Arabidopsis thaliana: one gene and its partners. The protein of the gene in region 3 purifies or fractionates together with the protein of the main gene of each other region. This does not show direct contact. Each region holds a gene or a part of one and is shown on either strand. Other genes may lie near its edges. The genes, in order: AT5G23430, LPPepsilon2, AT4G26630 and NET1B.

Region 1 (7,766 bases), on a different chromosome or scaffold from region 3:
ACTGTGAGAACAAATCAAGAATTCTTAGTCTAATGTACTATATCTATGACCATAAAGATCAAGCCTATTAATGCATCCATGAGGCATGATAAGTTTAGAAAGACGACTCTGCCATTTTTTAAAAATCAGAAAAGCGAGTTCTTACTGATCCATGCCGCTCCCTAAAAGAGCTGTTAGAAGGGGAAGAAGGGAGGTACAATTATCCAGTGTCAAAATCTCATTTCTCTCGGTTATTATACCCAGTACGTCCGCAGTAACCTGTAACCAATGAATAAGAAGATTGGCGTGAGCAGATAATCTTTTTCATATATCCTGCTACTGATACAAAAAGAAGATACTTACAGCATTATCAGCCATCTTCTCTATCGAGCCTATCGAATTTTTTACATCATTCCTTTCCCAATATCTACGAACTACCTGCAAATTTGGTGAATCAATTTAGGACAGAATAAATCAGGAGTCTTTCCAATCCCTAACTCTTTGCGAAGCTTCTGACATCTCAACCACCTATAAAATCCACCAACATAAGTAAACAAGGACCAAAATTTTCAATAAGCAGAAGAGGAGAACCATGTCCAGCGTTTCACTCCCAGCTAAAACATGCCAAGTGTTGAAATAGTAATTCTACGCATGCTAAGTGGTCGTGCATAAGCATATGAAAACTCTAATAAGTATTCAAGGTACTAGTCTAATTAGGGCTAAGCCAACAAAATTGTCACAACGTGACTGGTTTCACGTTACCTGTAACTTAGCCAAACGAGACTGCATAGAGCTGACAAATTGATTGTGCTTTCCCATTATGTCTTCAACAATATTTTCTTCAGAAGGAGAATCGATCCCTTGTTCAACTGGCATATGGTTCCCTCTCTGCTTGAACTATATGAAAGGAAATACAATATCTATTATCTCTGGATCTCAGAGGAACATGAGCAAAAGCATGACTAGATGTGTAGTTGAAAATTACTAAATCACAAAATATTATGTCTATTAAGATGTTATGAAGGCAGTACCATTTGAAATTGTATAAATCAAATGCATTAATTTCCTCTTTGTCCGTAACTTTCTAACTTTCCTCTTTTGTGGCAATTTACAGTCAGTGTGTTATTGCCTCAAGATCTCAAGTTGAAAATAGTAAGGCTATTATACCATATTTGAAGGGCGGATGTTTGGAGCAGGCATATTTCCACTTGAAAAATTTGAAACAGGACCCTCGAAGTTTGAAAATCTTCCTCTCCTCTCCCTATTTATGACGAGTGACTGGAATCTTCCTGATATGATAAGACACATGAATGAGATTCGCTTCATTTGCAAAAGAAAAGATGAAAGCTGGGCTGAAGAATCACCTCCTTTCTGACTTTCAGTGGGGCTTGGGTCTCTATTTGATCTGTGGCTTACCAAGTCATCTGAAACAATGACTAAAGCTTAGAACTGAGAATATCATCTATCAAACTCAACACAGGTACGTCATAGCAACCAATAATCTTAAACACATGATTCTTTCCACTATTTGCATGTTTCACTGGAGCAACTTCATAATATTAACCCTACAGGCCACATTTTAGGGGCCAAGGTAGTGTAAGACTACCAGCTGACATTCATATTAGCACTGAAACAGGCAAATATTCAAAAGGACAAAAACATACAGTTTTCATCGTGGTTTCGTGGAGGTGACCCCATCCGTGACCTTGAATTACTCCTGCCATATCTCTTGTATCTAAAATCATTAATGCTTCGCTCAGTTGCACCCCGCATGCCAACCTTTCCACCAGGAAGTGTACCCCCATCTGGTATATTATTTGGTTCAACTGGCTGAGACTCAGACATTTCAAGAACCGAAGCGTCTGGCAGATCAGGGTTATTTCTGCTGCTAGGTGACCTTCGGGAATCAGCCGCCTGCAATGAATACGGCATGGTTCTTGCAATTATGTCAAGTTCTGCTCTGGATTCAGTAGCCTGCTCTATTCTAGGGTCTGCTCTGGGGACAATCACCGGAGCAAAATCTGCTGCCTTATTGACAGGATTCGCCTTTGGGTTAGCTTTTGTAAAATTCCTCCTTGACGTTGCAGCATTAGAGACGGCTGTTGAAACACCCGAAGTGGCTTTTGATACATTGGTCGAACTGACCCTATGAGGAGTGCCTGGTAAACTTCCTGTGGCTTCAAACAGCAGACAAAACCAGAAATGGCATATCATTTAATCAGTGCTAAGATTAAGTAAGAAGAAAAGAGAAAAATAATAGAAGCAAGCATACATGAAAACGTCCTTGACTCTTTAGAAACGTCTGAATTTTGAGAAACTGACAACCTCCCGAGAGGCTTTGATTCCTTCATCGAGGACTCTGAATTTTGTGATGTTGATGACCTTCCAATGGACTTTGTTTCTTTTGTCGAAGGATCAGAGTTCTGAGAAACAGATAATCTTCCTAGAGACTTTGTTTCCTTCAATAAAGGATCTACATTTTGGGAAACGGACAGCTTCCCGAGAACTGTCTTTGAGTTATTATCATTGAGAACTACTGGATCTCTTCCTGAGCAAGATCGTTTCTCTGGATGACCATTTGATTGCGCAGTGTCTCCAGCCATACATGGCTCAGTACGCTGACCATGCATTTGAAAATGAGTTGGTTCGTAAAGATTACTACCAGCTACAATTAAACAAAAAGAAAAAGATATGTAGGGAGAGAGGAATACCGAGAGATCTACAACCCACACGCCTACACAACTCTGATTGTATGAGCAACCAAGAAGCTTTCCCTCGTGAACATTCATATCTGACAATCTTGACCATCCAACATCCACTCCATCATGACATCTAATTGGCTCCCATGAGAAAATCTACGATTTGCACAGGATTAAACCAAAGGAGTGAGGTAAGAAGAGTAGGAATGTGTATTTTGAAAGCAAATGAGTAAACATAAGAACGAATCCTTCAAAAGATGAGTTGTTCAATTAACATATATCTAATTTAAGAATCTACATACTGCATATCAAAGTATAGAAGAATTTACCTTGAGACTTTCTTGCAATCCACAAAGCACAGTCTTTCCATCTGGATTGAAACTCAGGCAACGGACCCCGGCAGTCTAGCGAAAATGAGAATATTAAAGGTAGAGGGAAAATAAAATGTCACCAATTTGACTTAGCGTAAAACAAGTTGTACCTCAGGTCCACCAGAACCAATCAGCTCGAATGTTTCCAGATCCCAGAATTTTACAGTTCTATCAGCTGAACCTGTTAGCACAGGCAAAAACAGAATGCTTCAAATATTTGTAATCACACTAATTTTACATATTCCATGTAAATATTTAGGTGAACGTTAACAGAGAGTGAGAGAAGTAGTCATTATTAAAACGTCGGCATTCTATTGTTATCTACACAACACAGCACCATTCTGAAAATATCTATGTTACACACACCCTCAATAATATGACCAAAGAAATGAAAAATACTTTAGATGCATATTTACTTCCAGATCTCAAATCACAGAGCTAAAAAGATAAGATGGCCACAAGAGTTTCAATTACATAAAAAGAAGATGACGCCATGACACAGGGATCTATATAACTGGTTGGGCTGGGCTGGTAACCGCAATACAGTTGTGATCAGACACTCTTAGCCTAGAAGTTTTATTTTGTGTTGGTGTTAGAAATTTTTAAGAGTAATACAAACCTGTTGCCAGTAGGAATTCATGAGGATGAAAATCTAGGCTTTGAATTTGCCCTTCATGACTCTTAAACTCGGTCAGCAGTTTTCCAGCTGTTAAATCCCAAACCTGGTAAAGACAAGCTGCATATCAGATCCATTAACACACAGAAAGATAAAAAAAAAGGTTCCCGGTAAATTGCTTTTCAAGATAACAATACAGTGCGCTGAGAGAGGTAAAGAAGCAATAACCGAGAGAGATGAAGCATCCGAAATAGTTGGCCAGGGTGGTCTATGTGGGTTTTAGCAAAATGCAAAAGAATAGTACGTCCTAAATACTCTCATATAGCATACTCAGCTCAGGTGCAGAGAGGTAACACTAAATAGTCGCAAGTTCTCCTCCACACTTAAAGGGCAATGCTTACTACAGAACGTCATTCATGAGATACATACAAAGAGAATTAGAACAAAAGCTTATTCCTACCAACTCTCGAAAGCCAGTTCATAGTCTATAACCAAAAGCGCAGTTTCATTGCTCCAAATTCTCCCAAAGGTAAATCCAAACTAATTATGTCAACTAAGCAGCTGTATTTCCCTCCACAGTAGAGAAGATAAAATCACATACCCAGAACTGAAAAATGACTAGTGACATGAAAGCAGCTACCAACCTTAACAATGTTGTCCTCTCCTCCAGATACAACCCAGCGACCATCTGGGGTGAATCTGAGTACATTGACTCCTCGCGTGTGACCCTTGTAAGTATGGATGCAGCCCTTTTTTCGTATATCCCATATCTTAAGATTTGTGTCTAGTGAGCCTGACGCAAAAAACTCACCAAAAGGGTGGAAATCCACTGAGATGCAATTGGACCTGTGACCAGTGAGAGTCCTGACAACTACTCAACAAAGCAAGTGAAAGAACACGTAAGTACTCACAGAAGTCAAATCGAGTCCAATAAGAATGGTCTCTTGGAACTACAAAACTTACTCTTTGCCTCCTCTAAATCCCAAAGTTTGATAGTACCACTAGCAGCTCCTGCTGCAACTAAGACCTCCGAAGCATCAAACGTCACTGAATCAATTCCACTTGAGTGCCCATACAAGCTCTGACAACAAACAAGCACAAATGAGATACTCAGAAAGAGTGAATCCCATAGAAACACTCTACTAACTTATAACCAACACATAATGAAACAGTAGACCGAGAACTGACCAGAATGGCATTGGGCTTACCAATAGCCCAAAGATTGACCTTGTGATCTTCACCACCTGTTACCAGAACCCTAGAAGACTTCCTTCCGATCTTAAGACAATTGACAGCAGCAGAATGTGCCACAAATTCCTCTTTAAACCACACAGAAAGTCAAGGCTAAGCAATAGGTACCAGATAGAGACTCTAGTCAAAACTCAAACTTGACTTCATTCATAATAGTCTTAAATTTAAACAGACAAGTTTCTCGAAAGGTCTTAAATTAAATTACTCCACGGGGAACAAATGCAAACATGAAAAAAGATGAACACAGACAGATCTCGTGCATATCAAAATAAAAGCAGTAGATCAAACACGGCACTTGTGACACAGAACAAACCCTAAAAATAGAATCTCAGAGAAAAATACGAAAAGAATCAAAATTGGTGTAAGAAAAGGATACGAAGCTTATAGGCTCGCTTGGTGGTCATGGCGGAAACGAAACCCTTGAAGTGGAGGACATTCAAATTACACTCTCAACAACCATACCAAAACCAAAATCTCGAGAAATCGAAGAAAGCAAGCAGCCCTCAAGATCTCCGCTTTCTCAACCGCTGAACCAATCTGAAAGCTCAAACGGGAAACAGATCAAAAACCCAGAAATCATTTCTGGGAAAGATACAAAATGAAGCCTTTAGGAAATGGAAGCCGTACCCAGCAAAAAAGGGCTTAACTTTCGTCTTCCCAAAACGCCAATCTCACTCTGCTCCACGAAAACACACAAAATTTGGGGAAGTGAAGAAATGATAAAGGAGGAATTTTTTTGAGGAATACTCGGAACTTCGTTGTTGTCTTAGATAAGCGGAAAATCTAAGGAGAAGTTGAAAGTGATTTCTCTTTTCTCCAATGGCGAAGTAAAAAAGGAGACAGAGAGAGATTGACAGAGAGCAGAGCACAAGGAAGAAGAAGAAGAGAGAGAGAGAAGCAAAAAGGGAGGCGCAGAGAGAGAGAGAGATACTTTTTTAACCTTTGGCTACGTCTTCTCTCTTTTAAGTTTTCTCCCTCTTCTCTCTATTTCAAATTCCCAAAACAATTTTTTCATTTAATTCTTTGAGTTCCTCATTTTTCATGCATCTTGCTACTATTCACATTTACATTTACAAGGAAGAGTACAAATTATTAAACTTTTACCATTGGTTTCTTTTTGTCAGAAACCATCATGTTTGTATTTTGCATCTAAAATGAACAATAACAATTAATTATTCTACATAAGAGTATATTCAGTGGAAAATTAAAAAGAGTATATACATTCTGATTGTAGGAACAAAATAGTACTAGTGCATATCCAAAAATAGTTTTTAATCAATAAAAGACTTAAAAAAGGGGAGACATTGCACAACTGAAATCGCGGTTTGCAAATTAATCCTTAAGAAAATGTTTTGACCGAAATTTTATATAATGGAATTATGAAACTACTGTCGGTGCTATAATGGAAAATGGCGATGTAATCATTAATAGGTGATTATTGCTTAGATGTTAAATAAATTTATTATCATGGACCCTTGTCCAAAAGTTACAAAATTTATGTACAAGTGTTTCAGTTCTAGTATCTCTTAACATTTAAAAAACTCGTCCAAAACAAATATGCAATGATCATATAACTTATCGGTTATTTTCCAAAGTATTTTTATACAATATTAGTGATAACGTACTGTGAGGATAAATAAGTGAGCGATCCAACAGCAAAATGTAACTTTGTATCCATAATGAAAGAACAGTGACAGTCAGTAGATAGACCAACGTTGGATAGACAAAAAAATTATGGTGAAAGGTTTGGCTTGAAAGTAACGGACTACCTAATTGCATGGGGCCATGAGCGATCCCATACATTTTACAAGTACACAAACTCTAACTCCAAAAACAAAAGATTTTTTTATTTAATAAAGAGTTTTTTTTTGTGAAACCATGATTTCAATGTTGCAATGCTTCTTGAATCTTGACTTTAACCAAAAATTCATAATTATTTTGAATGGTTAATTTAATCATTTATCCGTCGTCGAATTTTTAGAATTAGGGACTTGATTTATTGGTGCAATGTTATTTAAGTAGAATTGACATTTCACATTACATTAAAATATCAGGAACACCTATTTTAAAATCATGTTTTTTATATTCTCTTGTTAAAGAAGAAATTCATTAGGTGGTAGAAATCAATTACGTAACATCAAGAAAACAACTTTATGGATAGATGTTAATTAAATAAACATTCGGTAAGATAAAGTTTTTATGTGGAAGATGATTGTAACAACTTTTAAAGACAAGATTACAGTAACTACAAAATTTTGAAATAGAAACCTAAAATTACGGACATATATAAGCGTTTTGACTTTTTAGAGTTTAAATTACTTTGTCCCTCATTACATATACTTTGGCTGCTTGCTTTTGAAAGCGCACAATGCATTAGCTAATTAAAAAGCTAAATCAATCATTGCCACCATGGTCTGGCCTGGCCTTGGCCTAGATGTGCTGTCACCAAATCTGAGTTTTGTAATCCAATTATTGTATTATTCATATGCAAGCTCGAATCTCCATCCACTCCAATTTTAATACTCCAATCTTTATAAAACGTTGAACTTTGGAAGACGTGATACATGGACGTGTTAGTACGTTAGAGTTGATCAAACAACCATAATAATATTCCTCACAAAATCTAAACATATTACTAAGATTTTTTTTTTAGTTTTCTTCTGAGAATAATGACAGACTCGTGATATCTATGATGATGAACCTGTCTACCTTAGGGCATATGTATTTGACTAAGACGACTCGCTTCTCTCTACCTAAAATATCTTGTTTTAAAGTTTATGAGAATAGGAATAGCTAAACCGATACGGGCCTAGAATCTGACCCACGAACGAAAAACGGGCCTAATCTGAC
Region 2 (4,365 bases), on a different chromosome or scaffold from region 3:
ACATTATTTCGTGGAGCACGATTACTCGAGGGTACTCTCAGGCACTCAGCCAGGTTTAGGAGAAGAAGTTTTTACGTATTTCTCATGGATGAGACAAGCAGGGTCAAAACCAAATCCTGCTCTTACTAGTTTGCTGAGTGTTTCAGGAACCATGGCAGTTCTTGAGCAAGGCAGGCAAGTTCATGCGCTTGCTCTTTATCTTAGTTTAGAACAGAACTCTACTATTCGTAGTGCTCTGATTAATATGTACTCAAAATGTGGAAGTATCGAAGAAGCTTCAAAGTATTCGCAGAAATAGACAGAGATGATATTGTTTCTTTGATCAATGGATATGCAGAACATGGAAAGACCTAAAAAGCTATAGATCTGTTTGAGAAGAGTCTGAAGGTTGGTCTCAGACCCGACTCTGTAACTTTCATCAGCATTCTCTCGCCCTTTACTCATTCAGGACATCATGACCTTGGTTTTCACTATCTCAACTTGATGCAAGAGAAGTATATTATCAGACCAACCAAGGAACACTATGGATGTATGGTTGATCTGCTGTGTAGAGCAGGCCGGCCAAGTGTTGCAGAGCAGATGATCAATGAGATGCCATGGAAGAAGGACGATGTAGTCTGGACCACACTTCTCAATGCGTGTAAGGCGAAAGGAGACACTGAACGTGGAAGAAGGGCGGCTGAGAGGATTCTAGAGCTGGATCCTACTTCTGAAACTGCATTTGTAACACTAGCCAATATATATTCAAGCACAGGGAAATTGGAAGAAGCTGCGCATGTAAGGAAAGTAATGAAATCAAACGGCGTGATCAAAGTGCCTGGATGGTCATCAACTAAGATCATGGATAGGGATTCAACGTGCAGTTGGTCTCATTCACAAAGTGAAGATATATACAGTATATTGGAATTAGTAGTATCCGGTGCAGAAGCTCATAATATGATTCTTAACTCTAATATGTTAAAACAAACTTGGCCCTTGATACAATAGCAGCACAAGTGGTATCATTGAATGTTAAAATAGCTCAATCAATATGAATTATAAGGAGAATCAAATGCATTCCTTATACATCCTAAGTACTGATAATTATCATTCTGTCATCTGTCATCTTTAAACCAGTTAAGTAGCACATAAACTGCAAAACCTAAAGCAGACGCAGCAGCAACCAGAAAGAGAGCTATTTGTACTGAGAATGTTGAGGTAAAGGCTTCAAGAACAAGAGAGTTCCAAGTTACATACCATAAGGTGGAGTAAACAGAACCCACGATTGCACCTACGACCACTTGACTTGTCGTGTGAAGCTTCTGAGAAACCCTTAACCACGTCTATACCCCAAAATAAAACATCAGTGTCAATATTTCGTTTTCAACGATAATTGTTAACTTGATTCATGTCCTAAAATGATATGAAGACTTACGAAATAAGAACCCAATGCGAGGATGAAGCCGCTAAGGAACAGAGAGAGTACATTGGTTCCAAGCCACTCCATAACTGTGGAAATAAGAGTAATAAAGTCATCTTTAAGAGTTGATCAAATGCAAGGGAAGAAACAGATGAGCATTGTGACTGATTGTTTACCGGAGAAGACAGAAAACACAGAGATGAAAGAAATGGATTGGGCATGAGAAGAAGGCATCCCAGGATCAGAACGGAGAGTAGCAACAGGTCTCTCTTGGTTAAGTATACGTTTCAAAGCTACTGAGAGCACGGAATTTGAAACCGATCCAATCACAGCCCACAAAGCTGCACCATCATGTCGTAGAAGCAGAACGGATCCAAACAGAGCTGCTACAATCCATTTGCTCTGCCATTTCACAAAAATGCAGCAACAAAAGAAAAATGTTTGCTTTGTGTTTCTTAGAAGATAGGCATTACATCAAACAGGTTGTGTGCATCAGGGAATTCGAATACCAACCAGACGATTAGCGATTGCTTCAATACCATCGCCGGCGTCGGATACCAACTCGTTCTGGAGCTCCGACGACGAATTACTGATGAAAGCCTCTTGCTCGAGCGCTTGGAATCGATCTTCACCGTCTCTGCGAGCATTGGTTTTAACCAAATCGGCCATAGATTTAAAGCCAGAGACAGACCAGATTCTTCTTCTTCTTCTTCGATCCAAAGGGAAGATTGAGCTCGAAATTCGAAATCGAGCGGAATTGATGTAAGTGGGAACAGAGGAAGCGGCGAAATGGAAATTGTAGGTGGGCTTGTGGAGAAGAAGAAGAGAAGATGATGACGCTGCCATTTCCAAAGAAAAGAGTCAACCTATAAGTCAAATCAAACGATTCGCTTTCACAAATTTATAGAATTGAAAAACTTTGGGATCAAATCGTAAAAACGAAGAAGAAGCAGATTACATGATCCGTGTGTGTGACGAACTAGCAAAATCTGATGAAGAAGATTGGGAAGTTGTGGTTATTATTACAAAGTATGTGTTAATTTCTAGTAATTCAAATATTAAATGCATAATCACTTAATCTTATGCATAAAAGCCCATTAATTGCGATCCAATCTTCTGTTGGTCTTTGTTAAATTTGCCCATAAAAAGCTCATTAACAATTTGCTTTAAAATAGGCCCATTGATGAATCCATTTTATCTCTCGGTTTCTAGTTTTCTTCTACCTTTCTTGTGGATTATAGGAAGGAATTTGTGCTTTTTATCTTAACCAATGGATATTAGGGGAAAAGAATCTAAAGTTAAAAGATGAAATTGAAAAGGAAATTTGTTAACAAGTTGAACTGTTGAAACCCGAATATGATCGAAAATAATGGCATTTAACGGTGGGAAAGCCGTGTACACGATTTTTATTCTTAGGAATATTATTAATGTCTCATCGTTTTAGAACATTGTTGCTTATTTTGGAATTTTATAGACATACATACATGTGATGGAGAAAAATACATTATATGGAGTATACATTATATGGAGTATATTGGAGGTCGAATATGCTTAACAAACTTTGCTAAGGAAAAAAGAAAAGGTGGAACAAAGAAGATGACCAATTAAATTACTATACGTATACTTAGGTCTTAGAAATATATTCTTGGTTATCCTTTTTAGTTTTTATACATTCAGGCTGATGTGTAAATAGATTCTCGCATAAAAAAGTTTTCCCATTGCACAACATAACTATATTAATTATTTAATCTATACTCCTTTTATTCAAAATAATATTTACTTTCGATTATAGCTTTTGGTTGTGGATTAAAAATGATTATAGTCACAAAAGCAACGATCGAATATCGTCTCGAACAAAAAAATATCCTTATGTTTCTTGGTTTAAAGGACATGGTTTATAGTAGAACGATGTTTTCTTCTCTTTAAATTATAACATCAATACTTTTGTTTTTGAGAATTTTTATTTGATATCTGTAAAATATAGACGTTTTGTTTTTTTAATTTTATTTTTCTTATTTTAAAGTAATCGTCGAAAATCATGTGTCAGTTAAGGTCTTGCTTCTTCGTGCTAGTTTTAATATTTGTTGTCATGTTTAATTACATACATACAGTGATACAGACATGGAGAAAAGTAAACCGCTAATACTGGTAGTTAGTAGTTACACGAGGTTTTAAACTGAAGTTAGGCTGGAGTGTGGGTTACCACACGCCAGAGCGTCTTGTCATTGGAGATGAAAACTGGGTGTCGTTTATAAATACATTTATTCTCGTAGATAAAAGATGTGTTGATGCGTCTATCACTCTGTCAAACTCAATCTACAAAGTACAGTTATACACGGTGTTGTGGCAGAAATTGAACATGACTTGAGAGCCAAATATGAAAAAATAATACATATTCAAGTTTGAAAGTGAAAAAGGGGTTAATACGGTGTCGTGTCGAACCAGATAGTCCTGAAATTCATGATGATTTTCTTATCACTGACAACGTATAGCTTTTACAGTGGTCAAAGTATTGAACCAGGACCCCAACAAGGAAACAATCTTCAGCCCTACTTCCTTCTAGTCTCCTCCTATCATATCTAGTACAACACTTTTACCAAGTTATTAGTGTATACATAAATTGAATACCAAGATATTTATGGTCATAACTTTTAATTGATACTAATACGTACAAATCTACGCATGCGTGCAGGTATGCGTCTGCGGATATAAGAATGATGCTTAAGAATGGTATTACATGCGCATAGTTTTAAAGAGAACAATTTATAAAGGAAGCAGAGGAAATATGATATGTTATGCATGGGTCGAACCAGCCTGTATTATCGATTAATTAACCCTCTTTTTCTTATAACTTTGTCGAATTGACTACTAGTACTAATTAACACCATTCGAAATTCTTTGTCATGATCTTTTGGCCACGAGTATCTTTATAAGAAAACTATTGTCCATTCAATAATTTATTTATT
Region 3 (7,501 bases):
AAGTTTGAAACTTTACAGATCGAAACTGAAACTACGGAGACGAAGAAGAAGTGAAAGTTTCTCAGTGATTCTTCTACTGAGAGAGGTCTGTCAAGTATATTCCGTTACTCTTATTCCGGTTTACTCCTTAATCGATATTCTATTTTGCAATCGGACCGGTACTTTTGCCTTTGTGTGTGTGACAGGTCTTTTCGAATCTAGTACATCAAATAAGATAATAGTAGCTGCAGCCAGAATGATAAAAGCCTGGACAAGTGTTGCTTATGCTTATAGTTAACCATGTTTAGCCATCTGCTTTGAATTCTATGTATTTGCAGTGTCTCCATTGCAATCTATTTAGGTACTCTGAATGTAACAACAGCAATTACATTCTTTTGGAACTTGTGTTTGGGTTGTCCGAAAAGGGGATGTAGAAGAAGAGCACAGATTCTTTTCTGTATATTTTGGTCCTGTAAGAATACAGACTCTCTTCTTCATCAATGTTAATCTTTGTTGTATATGTTTATGAGGTACCAATTCCTACATTTCTTAGACTGGATTTGCGTTGGTAGATTTGCAGATATGTTAGAGATAGATCAAGGATACAAGATGAGCATAAATTCCTTCTGCAATATTCAAAGTCTTAAAGGGAATCAAGAGAAACATATTATTCATTTATTACCATTGGCCTCCTTCAAACCAAAAGACATAAACAAAAGAAACCTTGACAATGTCTCGAAAAGGGAGCCTCACAAATCAAAGACAATCCAAGGAGGCTTTTATGTTAAATGCTATAGACATACAAGCAACCTATCCTTTGGCTATGCAGCTTCTTCCTCTTGTCTCTACCAAAAGTAAAGCTGCTTTACGCAGTTCAGACTCCAACAACAAAATATTACATCCACAGATTTAACTTACACATTTGCCAGATGACTACTAGGCATTAGGCAACAGTATCTGACAGAGAGACTCAATATGTGCGATGTGATCAGAAAGGAGTTTAGGCTTTCACCTCCTCACCACCACCAGACCCTCCTGCTTCCTCCTTCTCTGAATCCTCTTCTTTCTTTTCCTCCTCCTCCTCCTCATCTGCTAATTTGGTGAGCTCCTCTTGGATTATCATCTTTATAGATGACTTTCTTGGAGTGAGATCTTCTGTGAACTCCTTAGCTGAAAGATGGATGAAACAATGTGTTTATTTTATATATAACCAGGAATCACTGGAAAAACAAATGACTGAAACCAATCTGTTCATACCAAGTTCTTTAAGGATGTCCGTGAACGTAGCCTGCAGAAGAACAACAATGCTCTTATTAGGTTATCTAGGTATAGAAGGAAATTCACAGTTTGAATAGATATTGCACAACAAACTTCAAATCAGCTTTCAGAAAACGAAGGTTATTTCATGTAACCAATAAGTTTGTTCGGCAGAATCCAATTTTGTTTTATTCCACACACATCCCAAGTAGTTAAGTGTATCGCATATAAAAGGTTGAGAAATTACTCACCGTACTAAAGTCCACTCTTTTCAAGATCTCAACGATTGCATTTTTCAGCACTTTATCACTCGGCTTGTCTTTCCCTTTTCCAGCCCTTTTTACTTTTAGCATATAGACACAAACAGAGATAAACATGGTGTCAGAAAACATTAGTGGTTGTATATTGGTTCGCTTCTGAAAATGAAGATATAAGGAATAAGATTCTCCAATGCATCTGACATACACTACACCCAACATGTTTTTATTCTACCTAAGCGACCATCTTACTGGAAGAAAAAAACAGGATAATGACCAAACCTGGCTTCTCTTTTGATGCAGACTTTGAAGGAGCCGGGGAGGCCTTGATAGGGTTTTCAGACTTCTTCCTCTTAGAGGACGCCTTTGGACTTGTATCACTGTCATCATCAGTCTTCTTTCGTTTGGCTGATGACCGCTTCTGTGTAATCTTCTCTGGTGGACTGGATTTTGCAGCGACCACTGCTTTCTTGTTTCTGGCTCTCCCTGCTGATTCTTTCTTCCCAGCTGACAATCTAGAACCACGTTTCTTCTTTGTAGTTTCTTCTTCAGAATGCTCCTCAGATTCATCTTTCTCCTCGCTTTCAGAAGGCTGAGGCGCCTCATCCTCAGATTTATCAGGAATGCCATTTTCATTCTCCTCCTCTTTTTTCTCTTCTTTCTCTTCTGCCTTCTCCTCCTCTTGTTTTTCTTCTTCTTCTTTCTCTTCTTCAGATTCATCATCAGAATGAGCTAAACTCTTTTTGACAACTTTTGTTGCTTCTTCAGACTTTTTTTGGCTCTGCAAAGGAAGTGCAGAATAATATAATCAGATTAAAATACTTAGCCAGAAACATTGACGGGTTGACCAGTGATGGACAGTTGCAAATAAGCTACATTGAGATTACACGTTCTTTTCAGAGTTAATAACAAGATTAATGAACAAGCAAGCCCTCAGCTCTAAGCTATGCATTACCTTTGCTGATCGTTTGGAGGATGAACTCCCAGCTGTAGGTGAAGTTTTCTTGGGAGTTCTCTTGCGTTTTGCTCCCTTACTTGACTGTTTCAACAGAATGTTTTTAAAGAATGTAAGATGCACAATAGTTATTAAAGCAAACAAAACTTTCCCAACACCACATTACCTTCTCTTTCTCAGAAACTGTAGTGTCACCGGTCACATCACCTGTCACATGAGGTTTCTCCAAAAACTCAAACAGTTTTGTAATAATATCTTCCTGTGTTGAAAAAGCATGCAACAAGAAGTTGCCAGATTCGATTAAATGGGGAAATGAATAAGCATAAACTTGGACAACCAGAAATGGCTAATCAAGCTGCTCAACAAAGACAGAAATTTAAACCTTCACATGTATCTATTCACAGAGGAAAAAAATGAATCTCAAGAACAAAAACTTAGAAATTGATAACCATAATGACCTTCTTTGTTGTAGCCTTGGTAATGTGTATGTCCAACACATCACAAAACTCCCACAGTTTCTCTTTGGTGCATTTCTCAAGCTTTTCTTTTACTTTTTCTTTTGCTTTCTTCTGCAAATACCAAAGAGCCACAATTATATACAAAGCAAAGGCATATGTAAAAGCATTCATTATGTGTAATGTTGCACACCTCATCTCCATGCCAAACGAAACCAGAGAAGCCCAATATGTTTGTCTTGATCTGAGCAGCCTGTTAAAGCAAGAAGAATAAGATACATACAAACATGATTAGCAGACTTGCTACAGCACATGAGTCCATACCACTGGTCTCAAACTACAAGAGTATGCCCATGATTGACAATTTTAGAAGTATGACTATTGGAGCAGCATAATGTCAAAAGGATCCAAAGAGACGCTCACCTTCCCTCTCCTCCCACCAAATAGAATTGGGTGAAGCAGCTTCAAAGTTTCATCAGACCTCTTCCTCATTACCTTGTTAGCAACTACAGAGAAGAAACATTCAAGTTATCTACTTCATTTCAACTTCAAACAAAAATAAAAAGATGAAAAAATGGAACAATAAAGGTATTTTTTAGGTAGGTCGCGATTATTAGATTTTGGTTTACAAGAAATCTTGCTTCTGAGCCGGCTGGAATTGATCAATGCCAAGAAAAAAAATTCAAATGAAGATTCACATAACCAGAACCGAAAAGTGTATAGATCAAAGAATCCACCCATAGTATACATGCAATTTAACAACTAGTAGTATCCAGCACATAGAATTCTCGTAACAAAAGAACGTTTAGGCTACGCACACTTGAAGATAATAAGGGGCTCAAACTGTAAACTTGGAAAGCTAACACAAAAGACTTTTCAGCACAAGGATAATTCGAGATAGATGCTTGAAGGACAGATAGATAGAATATGAACATACCATTGGGAATATCTTTGAGATATGCACCTCGCCCCTGTAATATCCAAAGGATTATTATAAACATATCTAGCAATAAAGTTCTACTCAGCTCAGGAAAGTTTTGGCAAACCTTTTCAACACGGAATTCTTTCGAGGAGTCTTTATCAATCAATGCAACAAGCCTCTCAACAGATTTCCGCTCACGCACAGGGCGATCAGAGAAAGGAGTCCTAGGCTCTGCATCCTTTTTTACTTCCTCGGTTTTATTCTTCTCGCGAACCTTTCCTCCAGAACTCGTCCCTTTCCCACGCTTTTTAGAACCCTTGCTCTCTTCTTTTTCATCTTCTTTATCATCATTTGTCTCCTCTTTCTCATCTTCCTTTGCATCTTTGCTCTCCACTTTTTCATTGTCGTTCTCATCCTCACTCCCTTCTTTTTCATCTTCTACCTTTGACTCATCCACCTCAGCCTTTGCCGCCTCAACTTCCTTTGTTTTATTTTCTTCCTTATCTTCCTTTTCTTTTCCTTCAACATTCTCCACTTGTTTATTTTCATCCCCATTCTCCACTTTTTCATCCATATCTGTCCCTTTGTCTTCATCTACCAGTGTCCCTTCCTCTTTGATGTCTCCTGTATTGCCATCTTTTGTTCCATTTGCTTTGTCAGCTTCATGTTGTATGTCCTCCTTCCCAGCTTTTTTGTGGTCTGCCTCAGTAATATCTGTCTCTTTGGTCTCTTTTTCATCATCTTTGGCATAGTTATTGTCTTTAGATTCCACGTTTTCCTTCATTACAGTATCTTCCACTGAAACACCATCATCAGTTTGCTCTTTCTTTCCATCGGCATCTTCATCCATGTTGGTAGCCTCTGCTTGTCCCTCATCTTTGGTGACCTCAACCTTCTCTTCCATTTTTTGAGTCTCAGCATTGTCTTCATTTTTCTTAACCTCTGACTCTTTATCTTCCGTCTCAGCTTTTTCATCATCTTTCTTAATCTGAGCATCTATCTCCATATTGTCTGGCTCAGCCATATCCTCATCTTTCGCCAGTTCTTGTGTTTCCTTACCCCCAGCATTCTCCTTTCCAGCCATAGCCTCTGATGGCTTTTCAAGAGAAGTAGTCTTGTTTGCGGTTGGCTCAATGGTTGCCTTTGTATCTTCCCCCATATTACAAACCAGTTCAGTAGATCCTTCCACCAAAAACACTTCTTGTGGCTGTGAATGAGAAATCAGTTCAGAGGATTAATATTGCTACGATAGCAGAAATTAATGCTCTCTATAAAGAAATTGAACAACTTGACATAAAGAACATGTAAAACGCATTGAATTCACACTTAGCATATATGCGAAAAAAAACTAATTCCAGGAAAACAACATCTAAAACTTGGCTAGTCAACAATAAGACAAATCTAATTTAGATCTCATTATTGATCCATAATTATCACTTAATCCCACTTTAGATCTGCAGAAGAAGAACTAAATGGAAATTTCGCGTAAGTCACTAAGAAACCAAAATCTCGAAGGTTCATCATTTATCCTCGCTTCTTATACATTCAGTAGAACAAAGATCCAGATGGACAAATGAAACCAAAAAACACCCTTTCATTCAGACAAATCTCCAGAGCTTACACCACACAGATTCAGACAAAACACAAACCCATCTTGAATCTCTCGAAATCAAGTCAATCAACGTCAAATTCATGCATTTTGTCAACAACTTAATAGCATCAGATATCAAAAAGACAATAAATAATCAAAACATCGAAATTCACAAATAAAAGAAGCGCATGAGAAACCCTAACTTCTCATCGCAACTTTAAACAAACACAAAGAAGAACCAAAAGAACATGCGAATTCAAACAAAGCTCAAAACATAAAAGCTCACAAAGATTTAAGCAGAGTATCCACAGGGTTCTAAAGCAGAAGACTTCGGAATCTCACCTCAGAGTATCACAAGACTCGGCACTGAGTTTTTTTTCTCCTCTAACTACTTTTTTTCTTACAAAACAGAACAAATAGCTTTTGTTTTTCTTTTTGATAGCGTTTTTTAGGAGAGAGAAATTCAAGGATTCGGACGCAAAGCCAGATTTTAAATACAATTTAATGCCACGTCAGGCTTAGGATGAATCATTACCGTCCGATTTCATTGCTGTAATAGAGTTCATCAACGGTTCAGATTTTATGTTTGATGCATCTCGTGGATCGATGACGCTATAAACTACCCTAACGTCCGGTTCCGAACCAGGTACCGAGCCTAGACTTTATATTTCAAGGATTTTATATTAGGTTTTTGGACAAAAAAAGTTAACATATTCAATGTTTGTGACCTATAGAAAAATATATTTTTTTAACTACAAATTTAATTTGGTAATTTTTCAATGATATGATAGTTTTGTAAATAAATTATCTATAAAATTACTATATAACAGATAAAAATAAAATTGATACGTAATAATTGCTATATCGGTTTAATATTAATGAAATTGTTTTACTTCTTTATGATAAGGAAGCTAAGTTTATGTGATTGAACAAATGATTAAAACAAACTCTTTCTTAAAATGTACTTCTTTTTAAAGAAATTTAACGAATTCGTTGAATGTTCAATTATAATTGATTTAAACAACGCTATATTAGGTAAAATGATCTAATTGAATAGAATTGTATAAGTGACTTTAACAAATTTTGTTATTTTATATTTAAATATTTTTTATGATGGATTCGATCCGCTACCATAAATAGCGTTGTCAATTTTTGCAAAAAAATTAACATGATAATCCGATTTTTACCTTTCCGCAAAAGATGAAAATGATTCACTGGTCCGGTGAAAAAAACAAGACTATTTTGACGACGATGATTATAAATGACTTATAATGTCATTAGTTTGATAGCGACAAAATTTTTATTTGCTTAACGGGTACTATGATCTAAAAGAATCTAATATGTTTGTCTTTAACAACAGTAAATGCTTCGGAAAAAAAAAAGTTCTAAATATGAAATTAGAGATTGTAACTTCCACCAAATAATCTAGATACATGTAAGAGAGAATAAGGTTACTGTTTTAATTGCCAATCTACTTCTTGCACAAATCTCTTAATTTTGTATAGAGACTGTATAGTATAACCTTCCAAATAATTGAACAAAGTTTAATATTGTCCCATGGTAAATCACCTAGTCGAAGTATTTATATCTCATTATTATGAGTTTTTGACAAATCTAGAAGTCTAGAACTAAAAGTTGAGAAACTATTATTGAAAAACGGGCAACAGTTGTAATTGTCTGCTTAAGGACCACGTAGCTTAAGTACCGTCGTGGTGTTTCTTTCATGGAGCATATCTAATTACGGTGAAGAAGAAATAGTTTGTAGTAATATTGCTGTTTCTTGTTTAAATAAAAGCATTAACATCTTGTTGTGTATTTTTACATAACATTTTTGGAACTCAATACAGGTGACACAAACAAATATATATGGTGGAGATAGTTTGAATCAAGATCAGCTCTCTGTGAAGAAATAGGAATTATATAGAACAAGGCCTCGTCCCATTCCTAACCTAAGAAGATCCCGTACATAATGTTGCTTACTTTTTGTTTTACGGACCCGATTGTACTCTCCCCATGTTGGGCGGATATGGGTAAGATGAATTGTTCAAGGACGAGATGTCACCATTTTGAGTCTCGTTCTTTGTT
Region 4 (7,803 bases), 5.0 Mb from region 3:
TCGTTTGTGTTTTCCAGCTGCGAGACAGCTTCTTCCATTTCTTTCAACTGTCTCTTCACTATAACCAAATCAGCGTTGCTGAATCTTCTTTGTTTCTCATTCATCTCCAGCTTTCTTTTCAGATCTGTTAGGCTAATCCGGAGACTTGACAGTCTCCTTGAATCAGACAAAAGTCTCTCCAGAATCTTTGCCTTGTCTTCGATGTTTCTAGATAACTCTAGTTTGTCAACAACTCCAACCGCTTTATCAGATTCTATAGAGGGATTCCGGCTTTGATGACGGAGATTGGAGTTCAATGACCTCTGCGGTTTGTTACTGTTGATGAGAAAGTTTACACTGGTCTCTGATTCAGCAGATTCATCCCAAAACTCAAACATGTCATTGGAACCATGACTAGTTCCCTGGCTTCTGCCATAGGTCAGGGAGTCTGTGACTTGATCACGAGGATTGTCTTTCATTAATAATTCATTTTTCACCTCTGTCATCTCAGGCCTCAATCTTGGCTGTCTAGATTCACCAGTGACCTGGTCATCAGGTTGTATATTTTCAATCTTCCTGCGGTCTCTGCGTTTTTGGGAGGTGCTTCGTGTTATTTGCCTTGATAGCCTGCCTTTTTCTTTAACAAATGCTTGTTCGATGGTCTTAATACTTGGATTAATTTCCTTCAGAATCACAATTCCATTGCATGGGCTGGTGGTACTGCCGCTTTCTTCCAGATTGTTTCCCTGAAAAAAATGGAAATGTTTAGAATTATTTAAGATCGGTACAGCGAGAAAGATGAGTTGACATTTGAAATAGAAGAACGAGTGCAAAAGTTTACCACTCTTTGTTGATAGGCTGTTGCAGGAAATTTCGTTAAAGCATGTGTACTTTTCTCAAGGGCTTTTACATCCCCTGCCAAAGATGCTATCACAGGATCATAAGCTGACAACTGACTCTTCAGCTCAGTCACTTGAGACTCCAAAAATCCAACTGTTTCTTTCATCTGTTTAATCTTAGTCGTTTTCGTAACAACTTCATCATTGAGGTTTTCACAAACTCCTGAGAGTTCGTTAACTTTGTTCTCAAGAATGAGTTCACGGATAGCTGAGACCTGAAGATCAAAGTAGAAAGATGTTGCCGCAGAATCCCAAAGTCCAATCTCATTGCTTTTCTCTTGCAGCTCCAAACTCAGGTACTCCTCTCGAACCTGTTGTCGTTGAATTTCTTTGTTTAAAAACTGTACCTCTGACTCCAAATTCTCATTCAAAGCGTTAAGTTTTCTAATCTCTTCCTCCTGTCTTCCAGCAACATCTGACAGTTCAGAAATCTGCCACTCTAAATTTGCCCTCATCCGTCTTGAGTCTTCATAGTCTTTCCTCAGCTCCTCAACTTCTTTGTGCAGCTCTTCGTTTTCATTGTTTGTGGCCTTGAGCATATGCTCTGCTTCTAGGATCTCCATTTCCCTATGTTCCAAGATTTCGTCTACATTAGAAACCTGATGTTCCAAGAGTCCAGTTAAGAAGTTGTCTTCTTCAAGGCCTTCCTGTAAATTTTCCAGCATCTTGTTAAGACCTTGACTTTCTTTCTCTTTACCTTCTAACTTCTTCTCCAGTGTCTCAACCTTGCGCTTCAGTCCCGTACTAATTTCTCGTAAACTGCTTACAGTTTCAACAAAATCTTCGACCTCCTCAGCCATTTCAGACCCAAAGGACCTGTAAACAACACACGTGTTACTCAAAGCAACAGCCTCCTGAAGAATTGCATCATTTTCTTCCTCAACTACATGCATTCCATCTTTAAATTCTGAAAATTTCAGAAGCAAAGTTTTGTTATCATTGAGTGTATAGGAATAATCTTGTTGCAAAACCATGTATGAGTCATGCAAACTCTCAAACTTCAAATTCTCAAATTTCAGTTCAGCTCTCAGCTTTTGCTCTTGTTGCTCTCTTTTGATCAGTTTTGATTTCAACAACCGGTTCGCTTCCTGTAGATCTTGCTTGTCCTTTTCAAGCATTCCACACTGATGTATTTTAGTCTTTAGATCTTTTTCGAGTATGTTCTTCTCCGATTCGAGCACCAAACCATCTGACTGGAATTGTCCAAGTAGAGATAAAAGCACCGAGTTCTCAACTACAAGTCGATGCATCTCATATTCAGCACTGGAGAGTGAACCTTTTAGGCTATCAATCTCTCCCAAAGCACGTGAAACTGAAATTTGGTCTTTTGTAATCTTCTGTTCAGTCTTGCAATCTGCTTCAACTTGAAGTGCCTTTATCACCTGATAGATTGCACCTCTCAAGCTATCAATCTCATCCAAAAATATTTCTGCTTCCATCTGCTGCTCGAGATTCTCACTTTCCAGCTCAGCAATGAGTTTCTCGGAAAATTCTGATGCTTCAACATGCTTCTGACACTCAATCAGGAGAGAAAAATTCTTCTGCTCTAGATCTTCTATAAGCTTTTGCAAGATGAAGATCTCGACTTGTTTGTTTACAACTCTGTCAAGCTCATCCTCGTACTCTCTTTTCCTGGAACGACACTCTTCTCGAAGAAAGCTCACATTCTTCTGAAGATCTGCTAATCTGCTTTCAGTAGATCGTTTGTAATTAGCACTCTCCTGCTTCTCAGCGGCAAGTGAGACCTGTAACTCTTCTACTTGATGGCTTTTGAGCTTATTATCTCTCTGTAAATCAGTATACCTTACTTCCAGTTCTGTATACTTCTTCTCCAAGACTCCTAGCTTCTCCTCAACCTTACACAACTGAGAGACAAGAGATTCTCTTTCCTTCATAAGCTCAGACTTATCATTTTTGAGAAACTGGAAGAAATCATCAAAGCACTTTGACTTATCCCTCAAACTTTCAAGCTCAATGTTTGCACAAGACAGGGATTTCTCTAATACAGAGTTCTTTTCCAAGAGTGTCTGCATATTCGCAGTCATGATTTGCAACTGGGAAACCAAGTTAGCTCTCTCGGCAGCAAGCTCAGATTTCTCTCCTCGTAAAGACTCACATCTTTCTATCAGATCCTTCGCTTTCTCCCTGGAACCGTCTAGTTTGGTGTTTGATTCCAGAAGCAATTTCTCCAAATCAGCATTCCTCTTTAGAATGCTGTCCATTTCACATAGCTTCCCTGTAACAGCATTATTTTCGTCTCTCTGATTGGTGCATAACTCGACTAGCTTCGAGTTCTCGTCTTGTAGTTTCTTCACGGAGTAGGAAAGAGATTCGGGATCGAAACCTGTGAGGCTTACTTGGTCAATTAGTTTTTGGTATCTCCTATTCATGCTGTCAATATTACCCTTCACACAGTGGATCTCTACTTGAAGGGCACTGCTCTGGTTCATCTGTTTCGCAACTTCTTCCTCGAGCTTTTCTTTCATTTTCTTCAAGCAAGAGATCTCATTTTTCTGAATCTCCAAGGAGATAGAAGTGTCATTTATTTCGCTTAAGTTTCGGTTTTCTTCTTTAGAGCTGATGTCACCTTCCAACTTACTATTTCGCATCTCCAGTTCTCTCAACATTTGAATCCGGCTATGAAGTTCTGAGGTGAGAACCTTCTGCTCCTCTTGGGATTGAGAATGCAAACTCTCCAAATTTCGAAGGCTAGCTCCAAGTTCTGAAAACCGCAATTGTTCTTCTTGCATTACAGCTTGAAGCTTTTCAATCTCGTTTTGCTTCTGGGAAAGTTCTTGATCCTTAGCTGACATTTTGTGCGCTAGATTTTCTGCTTCTACCTTCATTGTTTGATTGAAGCTCTCCAAAAGAGCGCATTGTTCCTCCACAGTCTTTATTTTTGCAGCGCCAGCAAGAACTTCACTGCTCAGTCTTTTGGCATTATCTTGAGCATGAGAAACTTCTCTCTCTAACTTTGATATTGTCTCCAAACACTGCTGATATCGAACATTCAAGTCCTCATTGACTTCGTTCAACTTCAGAAGTTCTTGTTTCAAAGCTTTGATTTCAGTTTCTGCTTGTTCCGATTGGTCCCTGAATACTCTAACACTCTCCTCCGCATCTCTAATTGTCTTCTCTAAGGAAGATATCAACTCAAGGCTTTTATTGTATCGTAGCAAGCCAGCCTCCTTCTCAGACTGCAATCTAGAAAGCTCTTTCTTGAGACTCATGGCTTCTCTTTCTGCTTCAGACACTCGGTTAGTGAGCCCCTTCGCATATTCTTGCCCATGAGAAATCGATGCTTCCAAATCCGCTATTCTCTCAATGGCTTGACTATACTGAAGAAGCCCAGTATCCCTCTCCACCTCTAGCTTTGCAAGAGATTCCTTGAGTATTTTAATCTCAATGTCAGCTTTGCAAGCACGTTCATCAAATCCTTTAACATCCTTTTGAGCATCGTTGAGTTCCTTTTCAAATCTGGATACTTTGCTCAAGATTAACTGATATTGGAGATTCAAAGCTTCCTTTTCAGTCTGAAGCTCAAGCAATGTTCTCTTTAAGGTTTCAACTTCAGAATCTGCTTCGTGAGAATCAGAAGTTCCATCTAATTTATTCATCTGACTAAAACTCCTTTTACTTTTAGTACCATCCTTTTGTAGAGCTTCTGTATCTGCTTCTGTACGAGGCTCAGAAGAAGATGATGCAGAATCCTCAATCATGTCAAAAGACATCTGGTTAGGAAACGCCTCAACCATGACTTTATGCGCACGCCGAAGCTCCACAGTTGTATGATCATACCTCTCAGCTAAAGCACGATAAGCTCTGTATAGCTCTTCCACCAGTTTCATTAGCTCTGGACGTTTCTTGAAGTACATGTCTGCCCTTCTTGCAAACGAATCTGCATCAGCTTCGATGAGCTTTATCATTGTCTTGACTTTGGAATCCATGTCTGTTTCAACACAAACAAATATTTCCTTTAAATTGACTTCCAAAAGAAACAAAATATCTTTAAACATACAAATCAAAAGCATTATAATGCCACAATTTTCAAGACTCATAAAAAACACCAAGGAGAAGTCAAGAAAGATTATAGAATACCTGCAAGGTTATCCTGAATCCATTTTGAGTTTTTAGGAATGTGACTATCCCACCACCACGAGTACAACCTCCCAGATTCTGACTGCGACAGACTGGCCATAACAGCTGCTGCAAGAAGCTCAACGAACGGGTTCTACGCCAAAGTAAACTACTTGATTCCTTTGATCCTCTACTAGTATGCTAGAAACTAAGAATTCTACAAAACTGAAACAAAATGACCTTATAATCAAGCTAAACAACGAAGGAAGTTACATTAGATTTAAATTGCTTTCCCAATGCAAACAAACCTTTGCACTGTGGATTTGTACTTAATGCTAAATATCAATTTGGTGTCCTTAAGAATGATAAACACTGGATCGTCCTGAACAAGAAAAAAAAAACAGCAATCTTCAGAGAGATAACACACAAAACTATCTTCAAACAAGGCATAGACAAAGATACAAACATGAGTAAGCTTTTTAATGTATAACAAAACACAATCAAGAAGAGGGAGAAAAGGGAAAAGCTAGTCTTTATGTTTCATAAGAATTGAGTTGGTACAAACTGAAAACTGCAGACTTCAGGAAAATGTATCATAGAGAGACAGACACTTCATCAACCACCAATAATAGAGACAGCAAATAACAATTCTTCGTCAAACTTTGGGAACAAAACTAATCAAACTTATATACACAAACAAAGCTAAACAAATCTTACTTGTAGATGAAATTAACCAGAAATATGAAAATGGGTAGCAACAAAATTGCCAAAGGAAGTAACTTTATCGAAATTCAGGAGAAAAACTTGTGATGAATGCAAGCAACAGCGACACAAAGATGACAACTTTCGATTGAAAACTGAAACATCAAGCGAAAACGATTTATCTCAGAGAATTTCTAAAGGATCAAAAGCACTTACTTACCCAAAAAGAAATATATACAAAGGGTAAAAAACAAGAACACAAATTCAATCACTTGACTCTTCAGTTTCAGACATCAATGGAGGAGAACCACAGAGACACACAACATTCTCTTCTCTCTCTCCTTCGTCTACACTGCGTGACAAGAGAATAATTAGTATGATTGGCGCATATAGTAAATATTCGATTTTTAATAATTTTTCTTACCTTTTTTTTGTAAAAATAAATTTTCTTACCTTTTTTTTGTCTATATCTTTTGGACTCTTTTTTATCTTGGTGTCATTTTGTAATTAAATAGTAGAAAAATTACCTGTTTAACGAAATTTAAGGAAATTTTTGTATCTTTATAGGAATATGGTTTAGTGAAAGAAAAAAAAAAGGATTTTAAGTGTCGGCAATATGATAGGATTTAAATATGAAAGACTTTGATATGCAGAGAGGCACAAATGTGACATATCAAAAATTTCAACATACGACAAATGTGTCCACATTAAATACAGTAATTTCAATAATGAATAATGTCTTAGATATCTTTGTTTAATTTAATTTCGACAATGATTTATTTTAGATTATGTAATCTGATTTTTTAGTCTAAAATGATCAACTGTATAAAGAAAACATTATTTTAGCATTTTACATGTATTTAGTAGTTTAAGCTTCTCTCATATATTATATATAGTGTGTGTATCACACCATCTCATTTATTAGTCTGAAGTTAGCAATAAGTTGGGCATGTTATGTTTTAAGAAATGTTAGGCATGCATGTATTCAATTGTTGTTCTATATACAAACTTATCACCTGTAACTACTTTTTCAAGAAAATAAATATTTACACTTCTCACTTTATAAAAAGGGACATGTTGAACAACATTATTGCCCGTGTAATCATGCATATTAGCTTTTTGTGTTCTTAATTAATCATATGTATTAACAAAGGAGTAAGCAAATATTGTTTAATGTCTCTTCTTAACTAATAAAAAAAATTGTTGCAAAGTGAAAGATCTCACTGATATTCAATACTATGTCTGAACGATTATAGCCGTTGACAAATGAACTATTAACGGGAGGATCGGTGAGATAGATATTGTTTTGGCCCTGGATAAGATGTGATCATCGATATTAATGATGTTTAGTGAAATTATTAAAGATTTCAGCAATAGAAAATTAGGGGTTTCAAGAGGACGATTGATCTTTTCCGGAAGATGACTGCATTTTAAAAAAAAAAAACAAATTTTAATCACAAAATTTAGTAAGAGATATTGCCTCCAATGTAAAGTCGCCTATTTAAATAACAATTTTTTTTTAATTACAAAAATCGTCAAAATTGAAATATCAATATTGAAAATAGATAGTTTAAAAAGATATTTAAACTAAAACAAATGCCTACAAACACAGTTAAATGTATAAAAAGTTATAATTCAAATTGTTATATCATTTGATTACATGTATTAGTGAGGATAAAGTGCTTGTCAAATTACAATCTTAGAGTCTCAAAAACCGCAAGATGTTCAAATATTTTTCTTTTTGTTTTGCACGCAAGCCACATTTCCACCAACAAACATCAATAAGTGTACGTTCAAGATCTAAAAAATGGATAATGATCAAGAAGAGGGGTCATCAAGATCTCCACAGAAAAAAATGTGAGTAGAAGAGACATAAAAAAAGGTGGGATGTCACAAAAAGAGTTATATGTGAGAACAAGTTTATAACCTGTCTTGTTTTGGTCACTAATGAAGCTAACAATAGAAACTCAATTAATCTGTAAAGTCCTCATCAAAAGCCAAAAATGATAAAAGATTTTTTTTCTTTGTAAAATTTGATTCCATCGTGTGATAATATAATGGTAATTACCAAGCAATACATGTTTCTCAGAAGATTTGTGTTTGTGTATTTTATTATATTCATGGACAAATGTAGCCAATTTGGACG

What was found.
Region 1: the proteins of AT4G26630 (region 3) and AT5G23430 purify together in Arabidopsis thaliana (affinity purification with mass spectrometry, with the first as the bait; one large-scale study listed by BioGRID). This does not show direct contact.
Region 2: the proteins of AT4G26630 (region 3) and LPPepsilon2 purify together in Arabidopsis thaliana (affinity purification with mass spectrometry, with the first as the bait; one large-scale study listed by BioGRID). This does not show direct contact.
Region 4: the proteins of AT4G26630 (region 3) and NET1B purify together in Arabidopsis thaliana (affinity purification with mass spectrometry, with the first as the bait; one large-scale study listed by BioGRID). This does not show direct contact.

What each region holds. Positions count from the first base shown.
Region 1 is NC_003076.8:7,894,543-7,902,308, forward strand, and holds the start of AT5G23430 (Transducin/WD40 repeat-like superfamily protein), read right to left. Parts: upstream 6,022-7,766; 5' UTR 5,544-6,021; exon of another isoform or gene 5,454-5,543; 5' UTR 5,321-5,453; coding exon 5,293-5,320; intron 4,985-5,292; coding exon 4,854-4,984; intron 4,747-4,853; coding exon 4,629-4,746; intron 4,537-4,628; coding exon 4,310-4,536; intron 3,772-4,309; coding exon 3,669-3,771; intron 3,231-3,668; coding exon 3,160-3,230; intron 3,083-3,159; coding exon 3,008-3,082; intron 2,835-3,007; coding exon 2,691-2,834; intron 2,598-2,690; coding exon 2,252-2,597; intron 2,157-2,251; coding exon 1,644-2,156; intron 1,404-1,643; coding exon 1,344-1,403; intron 1,269-1,343; coding exon 1,147-1,268; intron 877-1,146; coding exon 742-876; intron 418-741; coding exon 343-417; intron 259-342; coding exon 146-258; intron 1-145. UniProt on the Arabidopsis thaliana protein: May participate in a complex which severs microtubules in an ATP-dependent manner. This activity may promote rapid reorganization of cellular microtubule arrays.
Region 2 is NC_003076.8:26,532,681-26,537,045, reverse strand, and holds LPPepsilon2 (Phosphatidic acid phosphatase (PAP2) family protein), read right to left. Parts: upstream 2,431-4,365; 5' UTR 2,246-2,430; coding exon 1,913-2,245; intron 1,802-1,912; coding exon 1,576-1,801; intron 1,489-1,575; coding exon 1,415-1,488; intron 1,323-1,414; coding exon 1,237-1,322; coding exon of another isoform or gene 1,095-1,236; exon of another isoform or gene 1,001-1,094; intron 770-1,000; coding exon of another isoform or gene 745-769; intron 730-744; coding exon 522-729; downstream 1-521. UniProt on the Arabidopsis thaliana protein: Exhibits phosphatidate phosphatase (PAP) activity in vitro. May play a secondary role as PAP in plastids.
Region 3 is NC_003075.7:13,429,894-13,437,394, forward strand, and holds AT4G26630 (DEK domain-containing chromatin associated protein), read right to left. Parts: upstream 5,878-7,501; 5' UTR 5,759-5,877; exon of another isoform or gene 5,703-5,758; intron 5,033-5,702; 5' UTR 4,985-5,032; coding exon 3,950-4,984; intron 3,875-3,949; coding exon 3,841-3,874; intron 3,410-3,840; coding exon 3,327-3,409; intron 3,157-3,326; coding exon 3,097-3,156; intron 3,018-3,096; coding exon 2,907-3,017; intron 2,708-2,906; coding exon 2,615-2,707; intron 2,533-2,614; coding exon 2,449-2,532; intron 2,275-2,448; coding exon 1,776-2,274; intron 1,580-1,775; coding exon 1,488-1,579; intron 1,268-1,487; coding exon 1,237-1,267; intron 1,150-1,236; coding exon 980-1,149; 3' UTR 512-979; downstream 1-511. Other genes in the region: WRKY20 (WRKY family transcription factor family protein), read right to left, coding at 7,405-7,501. UniProt on the Arabidopsis thaliana protein: Chromatin-associated protein which contributes to the modulation of chromatin structure (such as super-helical structure of DNA) and function.
Region 4 is NC_003075.7:8,472,991-8,480,793, reverse strand, and holds the start of NET1B (kinase interacting (KIP1-like) family protein), read right to left. Parts: upstream 6,019-7,803; 5' UTR 5,878-6,018; intron 5,694-5,877; exon of another isoform or gene 5,673-5,693; intron 5,574-5,672; exon of another isoform or gene 5,338-5,573; 5' UTR 5,264-5,337; intron 5,181-5,263; 5' UTR 5,077-5,180; coding exon 4,977-5,076; intron 4,828-4,976; coding exon 821-4,827; intron 726-820; coding exon 1-725. UniProt on the Arabidopsis thaliana protein: Plant-specific actin binding protein. May be part of a membrane-cytoskeletal adapter complex.